2 linked regions of the Stegostoma tigrinum genome follow. The main gene of each other region encodes a partner of the protein of the gene in region 2 in a complex. Links are inferred from orthologs where the notes say so. Each region holds a gene or a part of one and is shown on either strand. Other genes may lie near its edges.

What was found.
Region 1: the proteins of vasoactive intestinal polypeptide receptor-like (region 2) and vip are in contact, whole or in part, in a cryo-EM structure (PDB 8E3Z), measured with the Homo sapiens proteins. The link is inferred for Stegostoma tigrinum from reciprocal best matches to the Homo sapiens genes VIPR1 and VIP. Residues at the interface, in NP_004615.2 of Homo sapiens: Glu36, Cys37, Val40, Ile43, Asn69, Phe90, Leu92, Phe93, Tyr118, Ile120, Asp125, Asp126, Asp132, Gln135, Thr136, Tyr139, Val142, Lys143, Tyr146, Tyr150, Arg188, Lys195, Phe200, Ser202, Glu204, Ser205, Gln207, Cys208, Met219, Phe222; in NP_003372.1 of Homo sapiens: His125, Ser126, Asp127, Ala128, Val129, Phe130, Thr131, Asp132, Asn133, Tyr134, Thr135, Arg136, Leu137, Arg138, Lys139, Gln140, Met141, Ala142, Val143, Lys144, Lys145, Tyr146, Leu147, Asn148, Ile150, Leu151, Asn152.

Annotation. Positions count from the first base shown.
Region 1 is NC_081362.1:94,092,410-94,099,714, reverse strand, and holds the start of vip (VIP peptides), read right to left. Parts: upstream 3,161-7,305; 5' UTR 2,818-3,160; intron 2,421-2,817; 5' UTR 2,410-2,420; coding exon 2,303-2,409; intron 538-2,302; coding exon 397-537; intron 1-396. UniProt on the Homo sapiens protein: PHM-27 and PHV-42 are two bioactive forms from proteolysis of the same precursor protein, that cause vasodilation. PHM-27 is a potent agonist of the calcitonin receptor CALCR, with similar efficacy as calcitonin.
Region 2 is NC_081355.1:151,506,399-151,513,744, forward strand, and holds the start of vasoactive intestinal polypeptide receptor-like, read right to left. Parts: upstream 3,021-7,346; 5' UTR 2,460-3,020; coding exon 2,397-2,459; intron 206-2,396; coding exon 103-205; intron 1-102. UniProt on the Homo sapiens protein: G protein-coupled receptor activated by the neuropeptides vasoactive intestinal peptide (VIP) and pituitary adenylate cyclase-activating polypeptide (ADCYAP1/PACAP).

The sequences.
Region 1 (7,305 bases), on a different chromosome or scaffold from region 2:
AATGCAGAACTGGGGGAAAAGTTTAAAATTAAAACGTGTTCAATTTAAGACAGAAATGAGGTGGCAATTCTCCACTCATTTGCACGTCTTGGGAATTCTCTTGGTATGGACATTAGAGGCTAAGCCATTGAATATATTCAGGGTGGAACTAAAGTTTTTTTAATGGACAAAGAGTGAAGTGTTACTCGGTTGAGGAGGGAAAATAAGACGCGTATTCAGGCCACAACCTGATCAACCATGAATTTTGAACGGTAGAACAGGTTCCAGGAGGGTGACTGACCCACTCCTGATCGTGTTTCCTAAGTGTTAACGTAGATCATTATACTAGGCCCATTTGTGCGCAGTTTTGAATTGTTATTTGTTTTAAATACGAGATTGGCAATATAGTACTCTCACCTTGGAATGCTTGCAGACAACTGGTAATAGAGTTTATCACTGTCTGACAATGGGCTTTGGTAAATGTCACTATCACCTTTCACTGGTGGTTGTGACTGATCCTCCCTGGACTGACCATCGAACCCAGCAGCATTTCCCAGCCTGAAGGTTAGAGGTAAATAAAATCAGTCCAACTCTAGCATTGGCCTGGCTGTAAATAACACGAGGCTGGCTCACAAATAATGTGTTAGTGTAACCTGAGATAACAAGGTGTAGAGCTGGATGAACACAGCAAGCCAAGCAGCATCAGAGGAACAAGAAGACTGACGTTTTGGGCCGAGAGCCTTCTCCTGCAGTTCCTACTATTTCTGTTAGTGTAACCTAATGGCCACAGCACTGACAAACAGCGTAGACAGAGCCATACATGACAATGAACTGAACTGCATCAGAATAACAGAAGCCAACCATATAAGAAAGGGTTTCAGAGATAGTAGGAACTACAGATGAGCACAGCAGGCCAAGCAGCATCAGAGGAGCAGGAAAGATGACGTTTCCAGCCCAGACCCTCCTCCAAAAATGAAGAACGGTCTAGGCCCAAAACGTTAGCTTTCCTGCTCCTCTGATGCTGCTTGGCCTGCTGTGTTCCTCCAGCTCTACACCTTGTTGTCTCTGTATAAAATGGGTGATCGGTACGCAATTTGAGGCAGAAGTGATGATGTTACAATCTGCAGACATTTGGTTTCCGCATCTATGAACTTTTCCCCGGACATACCGATTAAAGCCAATCTTGAATTATCCTATAATGTCTCAACACAGGATCACATCAGTTTTCTGGGCAGACTGAAGAAAGGCATTAGCAATAATCACAGAGAAAATCTCAATCGAAAGAACGCCCTTCTTTTCACCGGTTATCAGCATTGTGTCCGGCTTGTTCCAGGAGTAACATTACAAAGACGTTGAGGTCTAAGATAATCCTCTAGAAAGAGTTGGGAGGGAACCTCAGATTCACACTCCCTGTTCAATCTGCGGAGTGTAATGTTCAGGTTTATATAGTTGTTTTTTTAACCATTGAGAGCCCATAAATAAGTCATTCATTCCAACATTGACCGCATCATCTTCATCATCCCAGTGACTCTTCCCCACTCCCCTTCGAATGTGGCAACTTCATTTATGAGCATTATCCCCGCAGTTAATGTGATGGATTCAAATCAGCCCAAATTCAATGAAATACCTGGAAGTTGTGATCATCAGCTGTACCCTCCCCCCACCCCCGCTTCTCCCCCGTTCGTGTTTTCATAGCAAAGCTCTGGGCGCGAGGCTGAATTGTCAAGCCCCTCAAGTATGTGCATTTCGACGCCACTATCCTGCAACGTACAATCGAGATTGCGGATGGACCCATCTCCCTTCATCCCCAGATGCAATGACTGTAAGAAATAGCAACAGCAGTACGCCGTTTGGTGCCTCCAGTCTGCTCCACCGTTCACAGGGTCATAGCTGATTCCACATTCCTCACTTCCTGCTCTTTTCCCATAACCCTTGGCTCCCCAACTGAACAAAAACCTAAACAATAAAACCAAAAGAACTGCGGAACCTGTGATTCAGGATTGGAAACGAAGTTGCTGGAAAAGCTCAGCAGGTCTGGCAGCATCTATGGAGGGAAAAAAAGAGTTAACATTTCGGGTCTGCTGACACTCAGAACTGTCCTGAGAATCTATCTCAGCGTAAAATATACATAAGGACCTACGCCACACAGCTCTCCGAACAGCTCAATGCTCTATTTTCAAGTCGGTCGTGTGAAATAACTGAAATTGCAGCATGATTGCCCACAATTGTTCAGGACTCTTCATGTAAAGAAAATCACTGAGGGCATTTCACACGGAAACGAGTGCCTTTGGAGGCGGGGGGAGAAAGCGGGCAGCGAACTTACCTCAGGTGGGAGTAGGTTCCAAGCGCCGGGAACCCCGATGTGCGGGAGCCGAACACATTCAGAAGAGCGAAAAGCGTCAGGACGTGGGAGCTGAGCCGAATCACCATTGCGTCGGATCCTGAAATCCAACATAGGAAGGCGTTACCTCAATAAAGCTATTCGAAGAGGTCTCTCACTCCACTGAATGGTTTCGGACCTGGGTCGTAGCTGAAAATTTAGGGATGTCTTTGGGAGTGGTACGGGAAGTCAAAGTTCGCCGTATAACCTTTCTTGGAAATAAGTCTATATCAGCAGCAAAGCTCGAGACATACTACTCGAAATTCTAATCTATTATCTCAAACCCAATTCTCTCATTCTCTTTCTCTCTTTTACACACACACACGCACACGCACACACGCGCGTAATAACTATCAGTTTGTTTGGAAATACATGGGAGAGTACATTGTTCAAGATTGTTCCGTTTTTGCACCTTCCAGAAACAGATTTAGCGATCAAAAGCCAGTTGAAACACTTACTATTACGTTGTTGCTTCAGATTGTAGCTGTGTGTTTAGCCGCTGTCCTTGGTGCTGAGTTAGAGAATGAGAAACTGAAGAACAAAGATCGCTCAGTTCTGTCCGCGGCTATTTCTGAGTTCTTCCTGACCCTCTAACAGTCTTCTTGGTTGTTTCTGTCTCTTTCTCTCAGCGAAGTCGAGATCCCCTAGTTCTCTTCAAGTCCCAGGACTGGAACTCTGATATCCAACACGCGGAAACTTGCTGGTTTTATACGACAGACCAAGTAACTGTCCACATAGAGCAGTCACGTTCCAGTTCCAAGAAAAAAAGACCTAAATGCATACACAAGGACGTCATCGGCATTCCCTGTGGAATGGGAACGCGTAGTCAGAGCCGGTTTAATAATTTATCGAAGGAGGTGCTTGTAATGTGTGATCATCTCCAGAGCAAGGTCTCACTACTGCTTCCTCGCCCGCTGATTGGAATGATCATTATAAAATTCCAAACTTTTCTCGGCTTATGTCCCTCCATGTAAAAATGTCCATGTTTGAACCGTCCCCAGGACCTTATCTCATAGAATCTTACAACACGGAGGGAGAACTCACAATGCCACTCTGTAAAAACTATCCCAATCTCACAAGTTTCGCCCCTTCAACTATTGATTCAGTTTTTTTTTTCGGATTTGTTTCCATAACATGTTTGGGTTGTGTATTCGCGATCACACCTCACTCTCGCCATAAAATATTCATGTCTCTTTTGGCTGTTTTGCCAAATATCTTGGAAATTTACGCCTTGTAGTCACTGACCCGCTGGTCACAGTATCTCCTCAAACACTCTTCAGTTTACAATCCGTCTACTAAATCTCCCCCTAACCTGGGATGGAAGAGGAACAACCTCAGTCTTTCCACGTAGTGTTAAAATCCAACTGCTTCCATAAATCTATTTAGATATGGACGGATTGTCTGTACAACTACTGAGTATAATTACAGCTAAAAACACCCAAGCACAATAATTCAAGCAACGGATCATGGCCTGGACTGTGGAATTTGTGCAAATTTAGATTTCATACTTAATGTTATTTCTTCTCCTTCCCCAACTGCTGTGGCGTTGGATGCAGAATACATGCAGAAGCTTATATATGTCTGTCTCAAATCTGGTGGAATGTGATATTAGGAATTTTGTCAGCGACGAAATTACCAATCAAAAGGTTACTTTTTTGTGACAAAGTAAGGCAAAGGGAAAATGCATCCCGATTGAAAACTGTCTTGGTATAATAGTTTTTTTTTGTTCAACTGCGTGCTCAATCAATGCTCTGAATGTATTAAGTGACAGTTTAGCAAGGGCTGGTCGATATCTTGGGTGGGTTAGCAAATGCAGTCTCTTGGAGGGTTCACTAAGTTTATGTATTGAATAATGGAGACGGGGACTGCAGCAGAATCTAATCGAAGAATTCAAAGATTTTACATCCAAAACAATTAATGGTTGGTTGACAGTCAGAGGCTTTCTGGCGCAATGGTAGTGTATCCACCTCTAAACCTACGATTCTCCGTCGTTCAAGTCGTTTCTGTTCCAGAGGAAAAATACAATACGTTGGTTGAGGAAAACATCGATTGCAGTTGTCGTAGAAGCGAGAGTCTCGAATCATTTTTGTGTCACAACTGAGCCCAGGGCTGAGGTGGTGGTAGAAGGCAGAAACCATTAGGAAACATGGAACAACGACGAAGTTAAACGGCTGGGGTAGCACATCATTACGGGAGACATGCACGAAATTTCGTCTGATGACTGACACAGAGGAGGCAAATTTACGATTTATTTAATCAAGAAATTCAAGAAAAATTTCATGTAGAATCATTCATATCCAGAAACGAATTGTTGACTGGAACATAATGGATGAGTCCAGATGAATTGAATGTTCAATAACAATTCTTACGATACGTTTTGAAAATTAATGGAATATCTCCTAGATGATCTCGTGGTAGGAAACGTTAGGTAACCGAAAGTAAGTTGTCACTTTAACTCAACTAACATGCTCATTTCATTAATCAATGGATGCCTGACTGAAAATTGCAAGCTATTATCGAACAAAGGTTTAGTTGAGATGGGGGTACTTGGGCATTTAAAAAAAACCTGTCCTCGGAGCACGTGAAATCTGAACCCGGGGCTTTCGGTCCTGGGGTTGGAACACTGGGTCCAGGGGTTGTGGGCGGCACAGTGGCTCAGCGGTTAGCACTGCAGCCTCACAGCGCCAGGGGCCCTGGTTCGATTCCAGCCTCGGGCGACTGTCTGTGTGGAGTTTGCACATTCTCCCCGTGTCTGCGTGGGTTTCCTCTGGGTGCTCCGATTTCCTCCCACAGTCCAAAGATGTGCAGGCTAGGTGGATTGGCCATGCTAAATTGCCTGTAGTGTTCAGGGGTGTGTGGGTTATAGGGGGATGGGTCTGGGTGGGATGTTCCAAGGGGCGGTGTGGAATTGTTGGGCCGAAGGGCATGTTTCCACACTGTAGGGAATCTAAACTAATCTACCATTGCATCACCAGGGACACCTAGGTATGATTATGAAGTGGGATTCTAATGAGGAATTCTATTAAGACAGTTCACTCGATTCAATATAGGAAAATGGCTGGTCACCTGGATCCTACTTCAAATTCAGACCACCTTGACTGGGTTTTCCTTGTAGAAATTTAATTGGCAACATGGCTGATTACTTGCGGTGGTAGTAGTTTTTTTTAAATGAAGTCATGGTGATTTGATGGCGAGAAAGCAGCTCTGTTGTGCGTGACAGATCTTCTGGGTACTTAAAAAAAAACCTAGATTGTGTTTACATCTGGACCAAGTGACCCGGGTTCACGTTCGTCCCCTCTAGAGGTGGGACATCTCTGAATAGGCGCATTAGGAAAATATCTGTTTTGTGTTAACAGCTACATGGTAGAGTGCTAGCGTACCTACCTCTGGTCCTGAAATCTTAGGTTCAAGACCCATCTGCTCCAGAGACGTGCCATTACCCATCTGAACAGGGTGCTTCAAAACATGTACTTAGGTCATGTTGTGGCTCTCCTTCAATAGCTTAACTGATAGAGTGGAGTACTACTGCATGCAGCAAAAATAAAATTGTGTTGATGAGGGCTCCCTTGGCAGAGTGATAGTGTCCCTATCTCTGAGCCAGAAGGCTCAAATTCGAGTCCCATCAGCTCCAAATGTGCAATGACATCTGTGTGACAGGTGGGTTAGGAAACATCTAGATTGTGTTGGGCCCTTGCGGTGTAGTGGTAATTTCCCCGCCTTTGAGCTATAAAGCATGGACTCATGTTTGATCCGCTCCAGAGGTGTGTAATATTATCAATGCTCAAGTCAAAATGAAAACATCTCCAAAGATCACTTCGTCGCAAGTTGACAAGAGCTAAGGCCACCTAGAGGTTAAAGCTAATAATCGTGATCCAAACACAGCGAATGTTTTCAATGGGAAACGTGTGGCTGATTAATGAATTGACATGCACGAAATCTTCCTGTTCTCTTGTCGACATCTTCGCCCCCCAGTCGTACACAAAAGATACGTTTTGAACAATGTTTCTTTTATGTTGAACCTAACAACCAAACACAATGAGGGAACTTATCGTTTGTTCTCTGATTTCTAAGAGCATTCGTTTAAAATAAAACTTCCGATTTTGTTATGGAGTGCAGGACAATTATTCTTGCGTTAATATTATTGTTTGAGTCACCCAGTTGAAACTGAGTTCAATATATCATCCAACGGAAATTTAAGTGTATACTCATGAGCTGCATTGAAAGCTGATTAAATAATATATATTTGAATCATGTATCGTTAATTTAATGCTGCCCTCATTCAGAGTTCACTTGGCGTATTTGGAACCGAACGCAATTAAGTGATTTTTTCTTTCTGTAATATTTTAGTATTTGACGGTGATGACGTTGAAGTGAAGATGTCCAGATTTGTGTCATGCGGGAGTTTTAACAAATTGTTTTACGTTTTCATGTTCTAATGAACGTTGCTGTATGTTGCATTAATTCAACTTGTTCTGGACCATTTTGAAACTAAGTTGATAATATTTGGTTCTGATTAACCAAAGACTGTTGGACACCAGGGACTGAGTCACATCCTAATCAAATTCAGGCAACTGAAATATCTTTTAAGAACCATTTGAAAGTGAGAATCTCAACAAATTAAGTCTTTAGGTATACCTGGAATAATTTAAATGAAAAAATAATTTTTAGAATAGATGTGTCAAACAATTGTTGCCTATTCCTAGTTAATCCTTAAAGACTTTTATCTTGAAGCCTCACAGTCCTGAAATTGCATTGCTCTCAAAGTGTTATTGGGTGAAAGTTTTCGACCCCTCTGCTGTGGAGATAATCTAACCTGATAAGACTTCATTGAATATTAGGAAATCCATTTATCCATTTTCTGATCATTGCCTTGTGTAAGGTTATTGCTGATTGCAATTTAAGCGGTTTATGTAGTGAATTATTGTCACCTGGATTTGAGTTCCAGA
Region 2 (7,346 bases):
TCCTCTGGCATTATGCCTTTTCCCAGCCTGTAACTGGTTGGTGTGCTCCTCGGACAGTGCGACAGGGCCTGGTCACCTCTCCTCCCAATGTTGTTCACTCACCTGTCTCTGAACTCTGATTGTCTGTACTCAGTTTCAGGAAACATTCCTGTTGTAGCTGTGTGACCCTCAGCATAATCTCACAGGCAGGGACCATACACAGCACCTGCAGAGACAAAACACTCCGATTAGAAGCTGCAACATTCACAAAAGTCACTCTCCCCATCAGTTATATTCTCTAAACTGGCCCTTCCTACACATGTGTTTTCTGATTTAGAATCATAGAGTCGTAGAGGTACACAGCGCGGAAACAGACTCTTCAGTCCAACTCGTCCACACCAACTAGATATCCTAAATTAATCTAGTCCCATTTGCCAGCATTTGGACCATATCCCTCCAAACCCATCCAGACGCCTTTAAAATGTTCTCATTGTACCAGCCTCCACCACCTCCTCTGGCAGTCCATTCCACACATGCACCACCCTCTGCATGAAAAAGCTGCCCTATAGGACCCTTTTATATGTTACCTCCCTCCACTTTAAACCTATGCCCCTCTAGTTTTGGACTCCCCTGCCCTGGGGAAAACACCTTGACTCTTCACCTTATCCATGCCCCTCATGATTTCATAAACCTCTACAAGATCACCGCTGAGCCTCTGATGCTCCTTGTGGATGTATGAATGCTGGGTTTATTTAATATTGTTACTGTGGATGCAGTGCGTACCAGCTACAAGATGCACTGCAGAAATTCGCCAAAGATCCTCAGACAGCACCTTCTAAACTCACGACCACTTCCAACCAGAAGGACAAGGGCAGCAGATACATAGGAACACCATGCCCTGCAAGTTCCCCTCCGAGCCACTCACTGTCCCGACTTGGAAATATATCACCGTTCCTTCGCTACCAAGGGGTCAAAATCCTGGCATTCCCTCACCTTATCGCAAAATGATTATTAGTTATGGCACTGAAGGAGACTATTTGGCTCCACTGTGCGGAACTGCATTGTGGGTATCCTGCCACAAAAATTGGCTGTAGCGGTTCAAGAAGGCAGCTCACCCCCATCAAGGGGCAACTAGGGACGGGCAATAAATGCTGGGCACAGCCAGCGATGCCCACATCGCACAAGTATCTCTGAATAAAGAGACCACCTGGTTGGTACAGAATTGCAGAGCGATCACTCAGCCGTTGGGAGTAAGTTTTTGGAATGTGGTTGTGTGCTTTTGCATCAACAAAATGCGATTTTCTGCCCATCTTTCCAGGAGTCAGAGACTCATTGGCTAGTTACAGTTTGGGAAGAGTGCCCCCTCTGTCACTCCAACATTCAGAAGAATCAGAGGAGATCTCACTGAAACGTGTTAAGGGGATTAATGCAGACAGGTTTGTTTCCTCTTGTGGGAGACTATAGGAGCAGGGGGCATCATCTCAGAATGAGGGGTCACACATATACGACAGAAATGAGGCAGAATTTTCTTCTCGCAGAGGGGAGCGAATCTGTGGAATTCTTTACCCCAGAGGGTCGAGGTTGGGTCCTTATGCACATCCAAGGCTGAGACAGACAGACATTTAATCAGAAACAAAAGCAGAAATTGTTGGTTCAGCTCAGCAGGTCTGTGAAGAGGAATCAGAGTTAACTTTGCGGGCCGAGTGACCCTTCCTCAGTATTTAATTTGTTAAGGGCGTTGGGGAAAAGGCAGTCGAGGGTTATGGGATCGGCCAAGATCTCGCTGAGGGGGACAGCAGAGTCGGTGGGCTGAATGGCTTCCTTCTGCTCTTACATGTTACAGCCACTGGCCTGCATGTCCATTCCGTCATCTCCCACAGGGGTCTTAAGCCAACTGCAGCTCTTTGGAAGAATTTTCCTAACCAGGTGGGGAGAAGGGTCACACACGGAGATGATGCCGAATTTCACCTGCAACTTCTGTGGCGTTGCACACACAGGTGACACTTGAACGCCGGGCTTGCTAGCTCAGAGACAGGGACCTACCACTGCACTACAGACAAGCCATTCCCCGCCTGTTAGAAGCGTAACATTCCAACTGAAACATACTATATCCAACATCTACAGCGCACCTTTACAAGGGAAATACTGTTAATAGTTGGACCCACTAAATCTAAAGATAACGAGGTACAAAACAATTTAAAAATTGTGATGTGATTTGACTTCAGTCGCTACATCCTCAGGATAATAATGACTTAACTTAAAATGAGTTAAAATTGGTTGTATAATTCGCTTCCCTGTTGCAATTTAATTCGGATCAACTTCCACTCTATTTCTCCCAGATTCGGTTTTAGTTGGTCTTCCTAACTCTGTATTTGCCGGAAGAGAATAAGAAGGCCGTTATTAACGAATTCGCTTACCCGGGGGATTGCGCTGTGCGCTAGCAGCGCCGCCAGCAACACGCAAACTTGAGCGAACTCCATTCGGTCCGTCTTGCGCCGCTCGGAAATTCGAGCTGCACTCGTTCAGCGGCGGGGGCTCTCCAGCACGCCGGGTCTGCGCTCATCCTTCCCCCGCCTGAGCTACTGCTTCTGTCGCAAGGCAAAGGCCAAACATCTCCTAATTGTTAAACAAAAACTAAAACACACAAGTTGACACACAGCAACGAGAGCCGTAGATTCTGGCTTCCGGTCAGCTCCAGGAGCCTCCACAGTCTCTGATCCGAGACCAGGTTTGGGTGTCTCTTATTGTATATTGATTCTCCTTTTGATAGACAGAAGCAGCCGCCAACCAGGGACTGAGCCACCTCGCTTTGCACCAACTACAGCCCCACGATCTGGGGGTGGGACTATCAGGTACCTGACACTGGACAGCCCTGTGTTAGAGGCAGAAAAGAAACGGCAGATGCTGGAATCCAAGGCAGACAGACAAACAGGGGGCTGGAAGACCACAGCAGACCAGAAGGAAAGGAGCAGTCAACGTTTCGGGTATAACCCTTCTTTCCAACATAGAGCAGTACAGCACAGTGCAGGCCCTTCGGCCCACGATGTTGTGCCGACCTATTATTCCTACTCTAAGATCTAACTAGCCGGCATACCGTACATTTTACTATCCTCCATGTGCCTATCCAAGAGTCGCTTAATTGTCCCCAATGTATCTGACTCCACTGCCTTCCCTGCACTCACCTCTCTCTGTGTTAGCATGTCCCGAAGAAGGGTAATACCTGAAATATTGACTGCTCCTTTCCTCCAGATGCTGCCTGTCCTGCTGTGTTCTTCCAGCCTCCTGTGTGCGCGGTCTGTGCAGTCCTTGATTTATGATGCGTCCTAGATTTTAATGCCATAATATTTTACGCAGACATGGGGATGATTGGCGACATTAACAATGCCATTCATGATGTGTCTAATACAGGGACTAACCCTGACCCATGATCCTCAATGAAAAGGAGCATTTCTCCTCACCTCCACCCTCTGCAGCCTCAACATTGCGTTTTTGTTTGGATGAGCTGTTAAACTGCCTCCTTAGGGTGAGTAAAATACCTCATGGTGATATTTTGTGAAAGGATTCAGGTTTCCCTCTTTAGTAATGAATCGGCCAATATCCATTCTTCAACCAAAAACTTTATAGAGCCTTGGGTCATAGAGTTATACATCACAGAAACAGACACTTCGCTCCAACTCACTATGCCAACCAGATATCCTAAACTAATCCAGTTCCATTGAATCGCGGGAGCAAGTTACTGCAGAAGCTAGAATCTACACTGAGAGCAAAAATTGCTGGAGATCTCAGCAGATCAGGCAGCATCCAGGGAGAGAGAGCAAACTAACATTTCAAGTCTAAAAGACTTTTCAACAGAGCCAATGTGAAATGCCCATTTGCCAGCATTTGGCCCATATCCCTCCGAACACCATGTACCCATCCAGCTGCCTTTTAAATGCTGTAACTGTACCAGCACCCACCACTTCCTCAGTCAGCTCATTTCATACACGCACCACCTTCTGCGTGAATAAGTTTCCCCTAAGGTCCCTTTTATATCTTTCTCCTCTCACTTTAAAACTATGCCATTTAGTTTTGGACTCCCTCAACCCGGGGAAAAGACCTTGTCTATTCACTCTATCCATGCCCCTCATGATTTTATAAACCTCAATAAGGTCACCCCTCAGCCTCCAACCCTCCAGGGAAAATAGCCCCCAAGCCTATTCAAGCCCTCCAATTCTGGCAACATCCTTGGAAATCTTTACCGAATCCTTTCAAGTTTAACAAGATTTTTTCTACAACGGGGAGACCAGAATTGCAGGCAGTATTTCAAAAGTGACATAACCAGGGTAGTGTACAGCTGCAATATGTCCTCCCAACCCCTGTACTCAATGCACTGACCAATAAAGGCAAGCATACCAAACACCTTCTTCACTATCCTATCTACCTGCAACTCCACCTTCAAGGAACAATGAGCACACCAAGGTCTCTTCATTCAACAAAACTCCCCAAGACCTTACAATTAAATGTGTAAGTCCTGCCCTGATTTGCCTTTCCAAAATGCAGCACCTCACATTTATCTAAATTAAACTCCATCTGCCACTCCTCGACCCATTGGCCCATTGATCAAAGTCCTGTTGTCCTCTGAGATAATCCTCTTCATTTTCCACTATGCCGTCAATTTTGGTGTCACTTGCAAACTTACTAATCGTATCTTCCATGTTCACATCCAAATCATTGATGTTCCCTGGTCACTTTTCTCATTGCTGTTCATGGGTGCTTACTATAAGCAAATTTGTTGCTGTGTTTTTCTATGATATGGTAGTTACATTTCAAGAAGTATTACATCCTCTACTCAGCAGCGTCGTCTCCCTCCACAGCAGCTTTCTGAGACTGAAACAGATCTTACACACCCTTGGTGTCATATTTTGTTTCAAGATAAGCTTGTGTTTGCACGAGAAATTGAGCGGTCCAGGCCTGTACTCTCAGGAGTTGAGAAGCATGAGAAGAGATCTAGTTGAGATGAATAGATGTAGACAGAATGTTTCCTCATGTGGGGCAATTTAGAATGAATAGTCATACTTTTAGAATAAGGGGTGGCAGATTTAAAACAGAGATGAGGAGAAATTACTTGTCTCAAAGGGTCAGAAACCTGTGGAATTCACTCCCCTAGAATGCAGTACTTGTTGGTTTAAGCAGGAGATAGACAGATTTTTAATTAGTAAGAGGTTGAAGGATTGGATGACACTTGGCTCTGTGGTTAGCATCGCTGCCTCACAGCACCAGGGACCTGGGTTCAATTCCATCTTCGGGTGACTGACTACGGTAGAGTTCACAAATTCTTCCTGTGTCTGCGTGAGATCGCTCCGACTTCCTCCCACTGTCCAAAGACTAAATCTAAACCTAAGATGTGCAGGTTAGGTGGATAGCCATGCTAACTTGCTCCATAGAATCAAGGGATGTGAAGGTTAGGTGGATTAGCCAGGGTAATTGAGAGGTTACAGACATAATTCGGGTGGGATGCTGTTCAGAGGGTCAGTATGGGCTCAATGGGCCAAATGACCTCCTTCCACACTGTCAGTATTCAATGATAATGGATAGCAGACAGGAAAGTGGAGTTGAGGCCAAGTCGAGATCAGCCATGATTGTATTAAATAGTGGAGCAGGCTGTAGGGGCTGAATGGCCTAGTTCTTATTCCAGACAGTGCTAAGATCAGCGAATCCAACATCCAGAATATCTTCAACTTTCACCCTGTTTCGGCATGTCTTATTGTCTGTAGGGTGTGCATTTTGGCAACATGAAGGGAGGGACTGAATAATATTTAAATGGAGAAAGACTGCAGAAGGTTACAGATCAGAGAGGTTTGGGAGTCCTCATCCATAAATCACAAAAAGCTGACATCCATGTTCAGCCAGAAACAGGGAAGCCAAATGGAATTTTGGCTTTTTTTTTGAAGGGAATGGAATATAAAAGTAGGGAAGTTTTGCTAAAACTGTAAAAGTTAGACCACAGCTGGAATACTGTGGATAGTTTTGGGCCCCTTATTGAAGAAAAGATGGACTGGCATTGGAGGCAGCCCAGGGAAGTTTCATTAGGCTGATCCCAGATGTGGAGAGACTATCTTATGAGGGGTGAGTTCAGCAGGTTTGATTTGATTTTATTTGTTATGAAATATGTGCTTACGTACAGTGAAAAGTTCTGTTTTGCATTAGTTCAGGCTGATCTTAACCATAAAAATTGCATTAGGGTAATAGAACAGAGCAAGGAATACAATGTTATGTGCACAATGAGTGAGACCGACATTAAATTTAAAATTTGAGAGGGCCATTCAGAAGTCTGATAACAGCAGGGAAGAAGCTGTTCTTGAATCTGTTGGTACTTGTTTAAGCTTTTGTATCTTCTGCCCGACAAAGGAAAGGTCACTTTGTTGGGATTGTACTATAGGCCCCCTAACAGTAAGAAAGAAATTGAGAAACGAGTATGTAGGGACAGCTCAGATATATGTAAGTGTAATAAAGTTGTGATAACGGGGAGTTTTAATTTTCCGAACCTTGACTGGGGCTACCATAGTGTTAAAGGTTTGGATGATGAAGAATTTGTCAAATGTGTTCAAGAAAGCTTCCTTGATCGATATGTGGATGCTTCTAATAGAAAAGGAGCAAAATTAAAAGCTTCTTTTGGGCAATAAGGCAGGGCACGTGACTGAAATAAAAGTGGGTCCACACTGTGGGTTTAGCGATCATAATGCTATTAGTTTCAAAGTGGTTGTGGAAAAGGATAAGCCTTCCATGAAAGTTAAAGTTTTTAATTGTAGTAAGGCAAATTTTAATGATATGAGACAAGAACTTTCAAAAGTTGATTGGAGCAGACTGTTTGTTGGTAAAAGGACATCTGACAAGTGGAAGGTGTTCAAGAGTATGATGACAAGAGTTCAGATGCATTTTGTTCCTGTGAAGGGTAGGGCTGGTAAGATTAAGGAATAATGGATAAATAAAGATATTGAGGTTCTAGTCAAGAATAAAAAAGAATCTTTTTAAAAATACAGACAACTTGGACCGACTGAATCTCTTAATCAATATAAGGAGTTTAGGGGCATTTTTAAGACAGTAATCAGGAAGGCAAAATGAAATCTGAAATAGCATTGGCAGATAAGAATAATCCAAAGAGATTCTACAAATACATTAAGAGCAAGGGGGTAAACAGACATAGGACAGAGCCTCTTAAAGAACAAGAAGGTCATTTTTGAGTTGAACCCCAGGAAACGGGAGAGATACTAAATGAATATTTTCTGAAGAAGGGTCCAGGCCTGAAACGTCAGCTTTCCTGCTCCTCTGATGCTGCTTGGCCTGCTGTGTTCATCCAGCTCCACACCTTGTTATCTCAGATTCTCCAG